2 linked regions of the Notamacropus eugenii genome follow. The protein of the gene in region 1 interacts with the protein of each later gene in a biochemical or structural test. Links are inferred from orthologs where the notes say so. Each region holds a gene or a part of one and is shown on either strand. Other genes may lie near its edges.

The links. The genes of interacting proteins can lie anywhere in the genome.
Region 2: the proteins of COPS7A (region 1) and COPS4 form a complex in vitro, tested with the Homo sapiens proteins (2 studies listed by BioGRID). The link is inferred for Notamacropus eugenii from reciprocal best matches to the Homo sapiens genes COPS7A and COPS4.

The regions. Positions count from the first base shown.
Region 1 is NC_092874.1:194,985,054-194,992,630, forward strand, and holds the start of COPS7A (COP9 signalosome complex subunit 7a), read left to right. Parts: upstream 1-4,574; 5' UTR 4,575-4,755; intron 4,756-5,133; 5' UTR 5,134-5,176; coding exon 5,177-5,338; intron 5,339-7,577.
Region 2 is NC_092878.1:150,618,957-150,626,198, forward strand, and holds the start of COPS4 (COP9 signalosome complex subunit 4), read left to right. Parts: upstream 1-4,231; 5' UTR 4,232-4,361; coding exon 4,362-4,435; intron 4,436-7,242. UniProt on the Homo sapiens protein: Component of the COP9 signalosome complex (CSN), a complex involved in various cellular and developmental processes.

The sequences.
Region 1 (7,577 bases):
AGATGGACAGTAAGGGGGGTGAAGGGGAGAGTCACCGAGGAGGAAGAGGCCAATGAAAGGAAAAGAAGGAAAACAAGAGGGAAGAGAGCGAAGGAGAAGGGATGGGAAAAGGGAGGAGGAATGGGGAGACGGAGAATGCAGGCAAGGAGAGGGGAAAAGGGATGGCGACAGCTGGGACCAGAGAGCTGGAGCCGGAAAATAAAGGATGGAGATAGAGATACGGAATGAAAGATGCGGATCTAGATGGATGAATGAAAGATGCGGATCTAGATGGATAGAAATGGTGATGGTGGTGATGGAAAGAGAAATGGGGAAGGAGGGATGGAGGCATGAGAAATAGGGACAAGACAGATGGAAAATTGGGGGCTGGAAAAGAAGCAGGCTAGGAAAGGACGCAGGAGCCAGGAAGGACAGAGCCTGGGCACCTGGGATGAGGGATGGAGGTTGCAGGGTGTCGCACTCACCTGCTCCGTGGCTGATGTTTCGGGATGACTAGGGGGGCTAGAGGCTGTGAGGGGTTAGGGGGCTGCGGGGGGCGCCAGGCCAGGCGCATGGTCAGGGGACTAGCGGGCGGGGCGCGGGAGGAGGCGCCCCGGGTGTGGGGCGGCGGCAGAGGCTCAGTTCAGCTCTGCTCAGCTCGTCTTGTCTTGTCTTGGCTAGGCGTCAGCTCAGACCTTCCGTCTCCGCCTGCCACGCACTATTTAACCCTCCTGTTCCCATGCCGCTGGGGATCCGGGGATCCCCGGATGGTCTGGGATGTGGAGTAGAGGAAGGCTGTTGGTCATCCTGAGATTCCAGGTCGTGCCTATATGACTTTCAGTATATCTACCTACTCTTCACCATAAGAAGCGTATCACCTCATTTGAGTATCGTTCCAACTTCCTATGTTCCCACTTTGTCACCCCAATTCCATCTCACTTCATGTCCCCCACATCAGGGTCACCTGAACTCTGGCACCCCAGTTCTGCATCACTTAATTCCATGTGATCTCAATTCATATCCCCTACCAGACCACCTTCTTTCTTCTCCTTGGGACAAGGCCTAGAAAAACAGTGTAAAAATCCCAATCCTATTAACAACTTCCTGGGTTGTGAATGTATAGCCCTCAGGAATTACTGATATATATGAGGCAGGGACTTGGCTTCTAGGAAACTTTCCTGTGACTCAGATCACCCTCCACTCTCCTTTCTTTCCTTTTTCTTCTTCCATCCTTGGGTTAGTCTTTCATTTTCTATTTGCCTCTCCATCTACTCTTTCCTACACACTCCCACACCCACAAAGAATATAAACTATTTGAGATCAAGAACTGTTTTATTTTTCTCTTCGAAACCAAACATCTAGCATAATGCCTGGCAAATAGTGAACACTTAATAAATGCTTCTTAATTGAATGATTTTCATCTCTGATTGTAAAACTCTCTGTCCCCTATCTCTTTTCCCCCAATTTCTTTCTCTTAATTTTTTCATCAATATTTTCGTATTCAGGATCTAACGTTATATGCCAAGCTTCTTTCCCATCTTTTACCTTTGCCTACCATTTGGTTATTACCCAGAATTAGAAGAGAGATTATTGTTGAGGATAGGCTCCCAGAAGTTATCAAACGCTGTTGTGTTTCTGTCAATTTGTTCCACACAGCTCAGTGAAGAAGAGTCAGTTGTGCACACTGGAACACTTAGTGTGTGTTCTGTCTGCTGTTGGTATGTACCCTGGTTGTGCCATGCTAGATGTAAGTCCCCTTTTCATGTGTGTATGTTCAGTATGTACTTTGGATATATGTGTATGCTGGGTTTCTGCCTGGGATATGTGTATGTGCAATGGGTATTCCCAATCTGTAAAATTTGTGTATTTATATATGTCCATGTGTTGGGGGGGGAGGGAAGCGTGTAGGACATTGGGTCATTAGCTGAGTTCCATCTGCTGATTTTGCTACATTTCTTTAGAGTCATTTCTTAAATCCCTTTTGTTCCTGGTATTTTTTATAATCCTCGCATTTGTGCTGTGATGTTTCTTTACATAAAACTGAGCAATATGCCAGCATTTGGCATAACAATTTAACATAACTTTCAGTAGATGACTGGTTGAATAGGTCTGTTTTAGTTCTCAGTACTTTTCTTCTTCAGGTCTCTGTTAGACATTTTCTTTCTCTGATTAGTTATGTTTTCCAAGCTCCCCCTCAGCCTTATTAGCAGAATGCCCCGTGCAGACGTTGAGTTAATTTTTGTTGGGTGAATGAATAAATGAATTACTTGTTTGGGGAACTGTACAAAGTGAAAGACTCAATTGTTATCTTCTGCTGTTTCTCTATTTGTCTTCTCTATTTCTATCCTCTTTCTTTATCCTCACTTTTTATCACCTTTCTCATTTGCCTTTTCTGCTTTCCTCTCATCTATCCCTCTCTCATCTCTACTACCTGCTGTCCTATCTTTTTTTTTTTTTATCACCCTTTGTCCTTACTTCCCTTCCTCTCTCCCAGTTCATAAATAGAATCATACCCTCTTAGGAGTCAGAAAGGAATTTAGGATCTAATTCAACTTTGTCATTTTGCAGATGAGGAAACTGAGACATAGGTCAAATAACCTCCCCATGGGCACACAATTAATGAGTAACAAAATGTGGAACAATGGAGCTGGGCTCAAATCTTGACTATCCTACTTACTATTGGTGTGACCATTGGCAAGTTACTCAGCCACTTAAGGTCTATGTTCCTGTTGAATAAGGGGGTTGGACAGGGAAATGACACAAATTTATAGCATCAAGAGCCATTCCCAAGTACATAATTGACCAAAGGATATGAATAAACAATTTTCAAGAGGAGAACTGCAAACTACACATTTATCAAATCAAAACATGAATCACTAATAGAAAGAGAAATGCAAATAAGAAAAACTCACACCATGCAGATTGGCAGAGATGAAAAAAGATGAGAAGAGTTAATATTGGAGAGGCTATGGATGATGGTTAGGCATACTGATATTCTAGTCATAGAGCTAAGAAGTACCACCATTCTGGATTTCTAGTTGGAATCATATAAGAAAAGTAACTAAATTAATACTTTTTGCCCCAGCAGTCTCACTGCTGGGTACATAATGTAAAAGACAAGGAATAAAGGTCCAAAATATAACAAAATACCAAGTACTCTTTGTGATAGAAACAAACAAAACAAAGTAGGTGCTCCTCAGTTGGAGGCTGTTAAAAGAATGAGCTGTTACATGTAATAGAATATGAATGAAGTGAAAAAGTGCTGACCATGAAGAATTTGGGGAACTATGGGAAGATTTTATATGAACTAATATATAATAAGCAGGAGTAAAAGAAAAATATACAGAACCACAACACTGTAGTAGTCTTAATAAAAGGAATAATGGAATGACAATTTCTGAGAAGAGATGATGAAACATACCTCCTTTCTGACTGTCAGAGGGATGATTCGAGGACAGACTATTGTACCTATGTCTCGCATGGTCAGATGTTTTTGCTTAATGGCTTTTTTGTTACAAAGGAAAATTCATTCAGGAGAAGGGGTGGGAAATGGCTGTAATACAAAGACAAAGACAAAGCCTTAAAAAAAATAAAATGAAGAGAACGTGAAGACTTTTTGTCCTAGTAATGATGTGGAAATAAATCGATATTAACTGGAAAAATGTCAGAACAGATCATTGGTTATATGAATGTAATGGAATATTATTGTGTCAAATGAAATAGAAATAGGAAAAATTCAAACAAGCTTGAGATGAACTGATGCAGAATCAAAGCAATTGACGTGATGACTACGATAATGTAAAGGAAAATAAAACTGAAAGTTCATAACTCTGACAGATTATGACTTTAGAGTCTCATAAAAGAGATGGTGGACTATAGGCTACAAAATGAGAAATGCATTTTCAGGCATGGCTAATATATTAGTTTATAAAATATTTATTTTAGTTAACTATGCTTCCGTGTTACAAGAGAAGGTTCTATAGGGAGAGGAGAATCATTAGGACATCGATATTAAAAAATATAATCAATAAAACAATTTTTTAAATCCCAATAACAGACTCCGAAGAGCTCCTTCCTCACTGCAGAGAAATGGGGGACATAGACCTCGTCAGACAAAGCAAGATGTGCATGTTTTCGCTTAATTGTTTATCTTTTTCACGGGACTGCTCAATCTAGTAGAGGCGGGGGAGGAAGTGACTGATGCAAAGACAAAAGGCATCAGTAAAATGTATTTTTTTTAAGAAAAAATAATGGGTCGGACTAGATGACTTCTAAGGTCCTTTCCAGCCCCGAAGGTCCCTCTTCTCCCGGCTCTGTCTCCTTTTCTTCCCCGTCCCTTTCTTGCCCACGCAGCATCTACCGCGGTAAGCCCGCCATCACGCCGCCAGGACAGCTTCCCGGAAGGCTTTCCCTAACGGGAAGTGCGGGACGCTCAAACTTGTGGAATCCAGAGGCGTCTGCAATTATCACACAGCATTTCTAAACAATAAAGTTTTTTTGAAAGTCAAGGAGAAAAAAAACCCAGCAGTCGCCTGCCATTCTCCCGATGATGGCCAATCAGAACGTAGAAAGGGCCGGAGAGCCCTCTGCATCCCGCCCCGGGAGACTTCCGGAGCCTGTGACGTAAAGGAGCGGAAGTGGGGGCCTCGGGAGCGGGTCATAGAGTTTTGTGGCCAGAGTGGCCACGGAGGGAGGCAGTGGTAACGGTTTCTAGCAGCTGGCGGAGGTGAGGGAGGGGCCATCCCTCTAAGTGCACGCGAAGGGCGAAGGCGACAGGTAGCTGCTGCCCCACAGAGCCCGCTTTGGGGCTGCTGGGCTAGAGTCCGCAGCCCCTGGGTCGGCCCCCTTAAGGGCCGGGGGGAGACTGGAGGGGCGGGGGCGGAGCCCGGCGGAAAGCGAGAAGGGGGCGGGGGTCACGCGGGCCAGGAGGCGAGCAGGGGGCACGTGCCTCGCACGCGCACGCCCCTCCCCTCGAAGGGGGGGAGCTGGCAGAGCAGCAGGGTCCAGTCCTTCCCCTTAACCCTACGTTCCCGAGAGGGCGGCTGGGGGCGGGGGTTGCCCCTGTCTCCCGCAACACTAGTCCGAGTCTTTTCCTCTGACGAGCCTCCATTTGTAAGGGCCTCCCCCCACGTGGTCCTTCCTGCTTCCTTGCAGCTCCAGGCCTCCCGAGCCCCGTGGTCCCCCGCCCAGGCCAGCCATGAGCTCCGAGGTGAAGGTGACAGGGCAGAACCAGGAGCAGTTCCTGCTTCTGGCCAAGTCGGCCAAAGGCGCCGCCTTGGCCACCCTCATCCACCAGGTGCTGGAGGCCCCAGGCGTCTACGTTTTCGGGGAGCTGTTGGACATGCCCAACGTCCGAGAGGTGGGTACCTGTGAAGAGCCTCGAGGACCCTCTTAGGAAGCTCCGTCCACCGTCCCTGCCTCCCCCTTTAGATCAGAGCGCAGAGTGGCAGCCGGTGACTGCCACTGTTGAGCGGTATATCTGCCTCCAAACCCAGCAGGGTCCGCCGAGGTTAGGGCTACGAGGCCTCTCAGCAGCGAAGGCTGTTGTTGAGAAGCTGGAGACGTATAAGAGAATCACTTCCATTATTATTAACAAGTTCTTGTAGGTAACTAGGCAGATAGCTGGCGAAAGAGGAATGGGAAAGGCGTGGTCCTGTGAAAAAGTACCACGTAAGGGGCAGTGGCAAAATAGAGTGCCAGGCATGCAATCAGGAAGACTCAGCTTCCTGAGTTCAGATCTGGCTGCTGACACTAGCTGTGTGACCCTGGACAAGTCACTTCACCCAGTTCGCCTCAGTTTCCTCATCTGTAAAGTGAACTGGAGAAGGAACCATTCCAGTCAGTATCTTTGCCAGTAAAACTGCAAATGGGGTCACAGAGCCTGACACCACCGAACAGCTAACAAACAACCAAGGGGCACAAGATCTTCCAATTTTTTTTGATTCTGTGCCCAGTCCCATCAGTTAAACATTTTTTGAACAAACACCCCAAAATATATGTATTTTTAAATTATATGCATGAATTACTGTACAAATATGCTTTATGAAACATATACAAAAATAAGAATTTGAAAAGGATGAGATAAAGATGAAATGTTTTGAAATTTAAAACATTTTTTAGTACCATAGCAGTTTTTATGCTTAATGTCAGTCCAATGAGAGTATCCTGCTTGTTTGCACTTACTTATTTTCCTGTGTATGTCCTGTAAATAATATTTTGGTTAGTAATCTATTATGGGATCAGTGTAGTTAGCCAAACAATTGAATTTTTTTTTTGAAAATATATTTTAATATATTTTTCTGTAGAAAGATATACAATAAATAGTGAGCATACTAACTTAATTTAGAGTTATAATTCTTTGTGTAAGTATTTACCATATACAATGCAAATACAAGCAAAAGTGAATGTTCTCTGATTTCAACCCAGGAGAACATTTTCAGTATAAATCCATTCCTCTTTATATGGTTCTACTTAACAGATGGTGCGTTAATTTTCTGTTCATATTTGTATAGTGTAGTTTTGTTTTTGTGTGCATGTGAGGAACAGTCAGGAGACCAGTTTGACTAGACTATAGAGTGCAAGAAGCCAGTAAGTAATATATAATAAGTATGGAAAAGTGGGCCAGGGCCACATTGTGAAAGACTTTAAATGCCAAAGAAAGGAATTAATATTTGATTGTGGAGAGAGTATGGAAACCTTGGAGTTTATTAACTAGGGAGTTGACAATGGTCAGACCTGCATTTGGGGAAATCACTGTCAGGTCTATGGAGAAAAGTTTGGAATGGGAAGACACATAAGTAAGGAGACTAAATAGGAGGCCATCGTAATAAGGCAGGTGTGTGTTCATCCTTCGTTGCTGAAGAAGACCATGCCATCAGAAAAATGATGACATGTCTTGCACTTGTCTTGTTTTGAGTGAGGGAGGGCTGTGCAAGTCACCAGCCTCACTTCTCCTTCAGAGCCATCTGAATCCAGTGACCAGATATTCATCAGGATGACTGGAGATAATAAGACTGGAATGGAGGAGGGTTCAGATGAACAATCTGAACTAGGGTGTTGTGTGAGTGGAAAGACAGAAAAGGACTTCAGAGATGTTGTAGAAATATTCTATAGAAATGACAGGATTTGGCAAGTTTGGCTATGTAAGGTAATAGGAAGAGTCAGGGATAATAATGAGGTTGCAAATCAAGAGATACCCTTACAGGGACTTCTACTAGAGGGGCGAGTCTGGACAGAAAGATAATGAGTTCTGTTTTTGATTGTGTTTGAGATGTTTGTTGGACATCTATTTGGTACCGCTTATTCAGTTAGTGGGGAGAGAATTGGGCTGAATGTATAGATCTGGGAGTCCTCTGCATGGAGATAGTAATTGAACCCATGAGAGTTGATGAAAGAAAATAGAGATAAAAGAGGCCCAGATCCTTGGGGTACACCACCTGTACCCCATTGAGTATGACATGGATGATGAATTGGCAAAAGTGTCATAGAAGGAGCAGTCAAGCAGTAAAGAGACTCATGCCATGAATATTCAGAGAGGGGAAAATATGGAGGAGATGGTGATCAGTAATGCCCAATACTGCCATCAAGAGGGATTAGAT
Region 2 (7,242 bases), on another chromosome or scaffold:
CATCTATTTTATTTTTTCAATTAACCTTGTTCTCCAGGAAGTACAAGAAATAGTCACATCCTATCTTTTGTATCTCCAGAGTTTGTGGCAATACTTTATACACTACATAGGCATTTAAGAGATACTGATTAACTGTCACAGTCAGAAAACAAGTAATAAGACATTAGGGGGCCAGGAGGGTCAGCTGAGGGGACAATAACTCACATTTTCAAAGCTAGTCAACTGTCAGGTTTGGGCATATTAACAATTACATTCCATCACCTTTAGAGGTCATGTGGTACAGTGGAAAGAGCCCAGCTCATACAATTAGGTTCAAATACTACTTCTTTAACTGGGTAGCCTTATTCAAATCACTTAATCTTCCTCATGGGTAAAATAGGGGTGTTGGTCCCTTCCTACAACCCTCTGATCTGTCCACAATACTGTTTCTGCAGTTGGGAATCTAAGATCTCCCTGTATTCCCTTGTGAGCTACTTCAGCAAAGAAAAGTTTGTATCTATGAATTTCAATGATCCATGTTTTCCCATTCAGATTACCAGGTAACTAAGAACTGGCTGAATTTCCCTTCTGGTTTAAAAATATACAATAAATGCATTTCGATAAATAAGAATGGCCCAAGTACATAAGTGACTGATTTATAAGATATATGTTTATTTCTCTAACAGGGGACCGACTGGTACATGTGCAGAGCACTTCTGATGGGGTACCTGCTTCTGGGACCGTCATAATGATTGATCTTAGAGAGTACTTTGGAGCAGCACAGACATTCTGTAACTGGTTTGGATCCACTAAGAACATGGTGGATGGAGGCCTTTTTGGTTGCTGTTGGAGAATTAGAATTGAGGACACCTTCCAAAGGCCTTGGTCTCCTTTTTGGAGGATCTCTGTTCTTGGTTTGACTCCTTTGCAGATAGTGGCCTGGGAGAGCCTATGGTACAAGGAGAGAGGCTTGGGTCCTCCCCTTCTAAGGCTGACATGTGGTCCTGTGAAAATGGGGCTAGGGCTGTGGTCTTTTGTTTTAGGTGGAGGAATTGAAGCCAGGTCCTTGAGTTTAAAACACCAAAACCAAAATCAGGAGTCTGGGTAGTACAGGAGTTGAGTCTATGCTGGGTTTTTTCAGCTAGCCCAGTGTTGATGTCCCAAGGAGTAATATTTGGGACCAGTCCAAAAGGACTAATTCGCAGTGATGCCCCATTTGGGTGTGAACTTGGTGTAACCAATGCTATATAGAAACAGTGCCACTGTCCCCAGAAGCCAAGGTGGTTCTGAGCGTGCCCTGCAAGGTGCCAGGAAGGGGAAAATGTTTGCACTTTTGTTCTTCCTGTATCTTCAAAGTCTATCTTCCTCTGAAAAATTGTTTCATGGTGACATGGAACTGGGGTGCTGCTGGTCAGTCTCTGCTAGAGTAGAGGGTGACAACAAGTGCAGTACAAGTTAATGACAATGGAGAAAAGTCAACCAGCTTTTGGGTGCAAACCCCTAGAATAGTAAGGGGGCAATGAAGTCATTTTGATTCTGGCAAAGTGGGTCAAACTCTACTTGCTATCCTCCAAACACCTATAGTTAGGGCAAGCCAAAAATATTTGATGGTCTCACCACTGTCTTTTCAAATTCCTTTAAAAAAAAATCGAGTTATACTAGTTATGTAGCCAGAAGGTGACAGTAGAGAGGACTGAGACAGAAAAAGCAAAAGCTGGATGGTGTACATCCTATAAGGAGATTCCTTCCATTTTGGTGCAGGATAGACTAGAAGGGTTCTGAGATCTTTTCAGCTCTAAAGGTTAGCATCCTCTGATCTGTGTGCAATTGAGGAACTGTCTTGTTCTTTTTGGTCTCAGAAGGCAGCCCTAGAGCACTGGGTGAAAACTGCGGAGGGAAATTTAGATCTGATGTAAGGGATGACTTTCTAACAATTACAGCTATCTCAAAGTACAATGGCCTCCCCCATGAGGGAATGGTTGCCAGTCACTCGATTTCTTCAAGCAGAGGCTACTCAGAATGATCACTTGTGTGTTGTAATGAGAATTCTTTGATGACACTATTTAGACTAAGTGTGCTATATAGTTCCTTCCAATGCTGAGATTCTGTGAAATATATTAAAAGTCACCTAAAGCATGTGGAAAAGGCAAGGTCCACACAGGTACAATACATGGTATGTTGTCTCATCTGTACCTTGTAAGCTCCTGGATTCTGTGGCCCCAGAACCAGAACAATGCAGAGCACAGCAGCAGTTTTGATTTACAGGTGAGAAAATTCAACTCATAAACTGAAATGTTGGAGAGAAGAACTTGAAAGAGATTTAGGAGGACAGAAATAAAGAGTAAAAACCTGGCATTAAAGTTAGAGAAAGGGGAAGAAAAGAGCTGCAACAGAGAAGAAAAAAGCTACTTCATTTGTAAATTACAACTAACCTTATTTGTAAAGAGCAGGGTGGGAAGGAAGAGAAAAAAATGTCAAGGATATAAGTTGGAGAGAAATAAATATTTAACATGAATACGAATGGGATGAATTCACTCAATAAAATGGAAGAGAGAAAAACGAATTAGAAAAAAAGAATCCAACAATGTTTAAAGAAACACTAGAAACACAAAGATTCTCAAACAGTTAAAATGAAGGGTTGAAGCAAAATCTATTCTACTTGTCCAGAATTCAAAGTAAGAAGAGACAGCCATCATGATTTCAGGTAAGGTTATAGTAAGTATAAACATAATAGAAACAGATAAACAGATAATTTACATTATGCTTCAAGGTACCACGGATGAGAAATTAACTTCAATACTTAACATGCATACACCTAATAGCATAGCATCTAAAAATTTAAAGGAAAATTTAACTGGAGAGCAGTAATAAATAGATAAGGGCTGAGAAAACTGGGCAGCAGCCTGGCAGAAACTAGATTTCTAACCCTGACACTGTATAACCAAGATAAACTACAAATGGATACACAATCTAGAGGAAAGCACAACATAAATTAAAGAAGCAGGGAAGAAACTGCCTTCCAGATCTATGGATAGAGGAAGAGTATATTAATAAATAAGCATTAAGAGAGGTTCATATGATAGAAAATGAACAATTTTGGTTGCATGAAATTAGCTTTTGCATGAAAAAAACCTGTCAAAAATGAAAGAAAAGAAAACCATCACAAATAGGCATGGTCCAGCACAACATATTCCCATTGCATTTTGAGTTGGTTATCTTTGGCAGGAAGCCAGTGGTGTTTTCATCTTCAGTCTTCTGGACTCAAGGCTTTTCTCATTGCCTTGGTTACGGTTCAACTTTCAAAGTTTTTTCTCTGTGATATGTTCATTTATAAATTACTCTCCCAGCCTTTATTTAGCTCAACTGAGTTCATAGGGATCCCTTCAGTTTTCTTTGAAACTATCCATTTCATCATTTTTTTGGGCGCAATAGGATTCCATTAAACTCACATCATTTATTCATATAATAGGAGGAAAGCTGCTTAGTTTCTGAATTTTGGTTACAACAAAAAGAGCTGCGATGAATATTTTTTCCTCTTTCTTTGATTTCTTGGAGGCAGAGTCCTGGTAGGGACAAAAGTCGGTGACAGGTGGAAAACACTTTAGTAACTTTCTGGGAATGCATCCACTTGCTTTCCAGACTGTCTGGCACAGTTCACAGCTCCACCAGAAGGGCCCAGGTAGGTCCTTGTTCTTCCACAATCCCTCCATGGAGTCATTTCCATCAGCCATTTTTAATCTCTGTCAGTGTCCTGAGTGTGAGGTGCATCTTCCAAGTTGATTTAATTTGAATTTCTCTAATTATTAGAGATTGACAGTATTTTTTCCCCAAAGATGATCGACAGCTCGGATTTTTTTCCTTTGAAAGTCATTCACATCATCTGAGCATCCGTTTGTTGGGGGGCGGCGCTCAAGTCTTATCAATTCAGTTCCGTATGGGTCTTGGCTACGAGGCCTTGATCAGAGAAACAAGCTGGCATTTTTTTTCAAACCTTAAAGGGCCATGGAAGCGTTGGTTTTAAGACTGTTGTTGTTTTTATCCCACCTGTAACACCTGCTGCCTCTTTCCACCACGTGTAAAATAAGGAGGCCCCCCAAAATCCAAATATTCCCTCCCGTTTCCTAAACAGAAACTTAACTGGCTGCCTGCCCCTGTCCCGCCCCTGTCCCGCCCCTGTCCCGCCTCCGTCTTCCGGCTCCGCCCACACTTCCGGTGGTGAGAAAGGGAAGAAGGCGAATAGACGCTCTAGCCTGCTCCCGCCTTCTCGACGGCACTTCCGGTCCCTCTAGCCGAACGCTGGAGGCTTCCACTCGTTCTCTCTTCCGGGAGAAAGAGTGACGTCCTTTGCCGGGGCTGGGGGCGGGGTCGGGGCCGGAGCGAAGATGGCGGCGGCGGTGCGACAGGACTTGGGCCAGCTAATGAACTCGAGCGGGTCTCACAAGGACCTGGCGGGCAAGTGAGTGCCACCCCGGGGGAGGCGGGAGCGGGCGGTGCGGAAGAGCAGGAGGGTCTCGGGCGCGGCTGGCGGCCGCCGATGTCGGAGGCGGGGCCCGCCGGGGCCTCCGGAGGCGTTGGGATGGGGAGCGTGGAGGGGGAGGGGAGCGGGGGCGCGCATGCGCGGCAGGCCCGGCCGGCTCGGCGCTGGAGCTCTGTGGGTCCCGCTCGGGGCTCCCGGGAATGCTGAGCGAGCTCGGAGCCGGGCCTCGGACCCTCCTCCCTTTGCCCCTGTACCCGGAGATCTGGGGTACAGCCTCTGACAACGCCCCCAGACCGTGTCCCGCTTTCCTCGGCTGCAGCCCTGCCGCCTCTCATGTAGTGTCTCCCTTAATCCCGTATCTTGTTGGTGCCTATTAAATGCTTGTCTGACCGAGAAATTCTGGGCCCCGAGCCTGGGCGGTCATGCAGGCAGCCCTTCTTGCCCAGGGCCATTGTGCCAAGGAAGCATGCTAATCACGGAACGTTTATTAAGCCTCTCCCCTGTGCCGGGCACTGTGCCGAGCCCTGTGCCGAGCCCTGGGGAGACGGGGTAAGGAGACAGCCCCTGGGGGGGTTACAATCTAAGGAGTTGCTTCCCAGAGAGGGGATGAATCGTCTGTCCTGGGTGTTGGAAAGGCCTTGATGATAAAGGTCTGCATGGTTCTGAAAGGGGAAGGGGCGTGGGGGGAGTGGTAGAAAGGACACCAGATTTAGAACCTGGGCCCTGGGTTCAAATTTCGCCCTCCTTCAAGTTTGGTCAAGACTCATAACTGTTCTGAGCCCTAGTGTCCCCGTCTGCCAAGTAAAGGATTGGACGAGTTGATTCGGAAGCCTTTTCCAGCTGTAAATCTGAAGTGCTTTCCAAAAGCTCACAGTCTGCTGAGGGAATACCACGAGTGTAGAATAAGTGCCATAGACGATCGAATCCTTGGTGTCCTTAAGAGTTCAGCTCTTGTTTACCTGCTTCCAGAGGCTAAGACCCACCTGCCAGTAATTGAACTGTCAAAGGATATGAATAGACAATTGTCAAATGACGAATTGCAGACTGATAGCTACAGGAGAGAAGGCTTCAGATCAGTGATAAGAGAAACACAGATCCCAACAGTACTAAGGTTTCATCTCATACCCAGAAAATTGGCATAGGTGACAAAAGGAATAAGTATTCAGTGTGGAAAGACAGGCACACTGATACATTGGTGATGAAACTGTGAATTAGTGCAGCCATTCTGGAAACTTGGAATGATACACATAAAATGGCATATTCCGAGGAATTCATTGATAAAGAGAAAATCTCCATATACACCAGAATATTTGTAGCATCGCTTCTTGTGATAGCAAAGGAGAGGAAACACAAGATTGCAGACTTGGAAAAATTTCCAGATTTGCTAGGGATAGCCAGAACGCTCGAGGACAGTCAGGATTCAAAACATTCTTGAGAGGCCAGAATGTTTGCTCAGTTCTTATAGTCTGAGATTTAATAGGGATGAATATAAAGTCTTGCAGTTAGATTAAAAAATAAACCGCACAGATACAAGGTAACAGAATGTGGTGGACTAAAACAGTAGAGGACATTTTTAAAATAAATATGAAACATCAAAACTTGGTCTTATTTGGGAAAGAGGAAAGGCAACAGGTTGTCTTGCTGGATGTTGATAGGTGTAGACCTGTCAACCCCCAAGATGGGGCGTAAGGGGAGAACAGATGCACGAGTCACGCTAGGTGGTCGTCTGCCTCGGCCTCCTGTGTCTGCTGGTATGCTGTTAATGGATTTCATGCTTGGTGTCTGCTGGTGCTGTTATCTGCCACTATTCCACCCAAAGGGCATATTAGGCTTGCTGTTTCAATGTAGACTGGTGCCAGATTGACTGTCTCTTAGTAGATACCCCACTATTACTGCATTACATTTATTTGTAGACAAATTTGTAGACTATTACTGCATTACATTTATTTGTACAGTAAGTATGTCAGTGGGGCACACGTTAACTGAACAGCAGTAATAACTAGTCAGGAAATAGCACTTTAGGATATTAGGAAAGAAATTAGTTTTGTCAAAAAGTGAAAAGACCAATAATTGGTTTTGCCGAGAACATGAGTGGCTTCATATGCCCCATAGGAATAAATAAATGTAAGAATGAATCTCAAATATTCCCTCTAGTAAGTGTGAGTGTAGGATTGTGTCAGCATATTAAAATCTGGGTCATGTGCTGGAGTTGTGATAGTGGACAAACTTTTTGAATAAAAGCCCGACTCACCTCTGACATTGTCTTCTGTAAATATAATCCAAAGAAGAAATGCTGATTGACTCATGAAACAAATGTGTATTTTACGAACCCATGTCACATCACATTCATAAACAATCTGAGAAACGAGTCATCAAGATAGCATATTGGGATACAGATATCTTGGGAAGTATAAGGTTCCCCACAGTGAAGATCTTTAAGAAGGCTGGATAAATACTTGTTCTCTTATTGAGCACAGGTGTCAAGCAGCCTACTGAATTAAATTAGATTAATTAGATGTATATTAGATTAATTAAATTTGATGTAATTGGGAAATATTTAACAAAATAAAAATACAACATAGGTTACGTTACATTTTAAATCTAAGTCAACATGAGATAATTTTCTCATCCTTTTCTAATATTTGTCTACAGTTTATTATGTTTGATTGCATAGTTTAAAATACTAATTAGAAGGGTGAAAAGTATACCGTGATTTTGCTTTTGACAGTAGTGAACTTTGGTATTCACTCAACAAACATGAAGCACTTCCTATGTACCAGGCACTG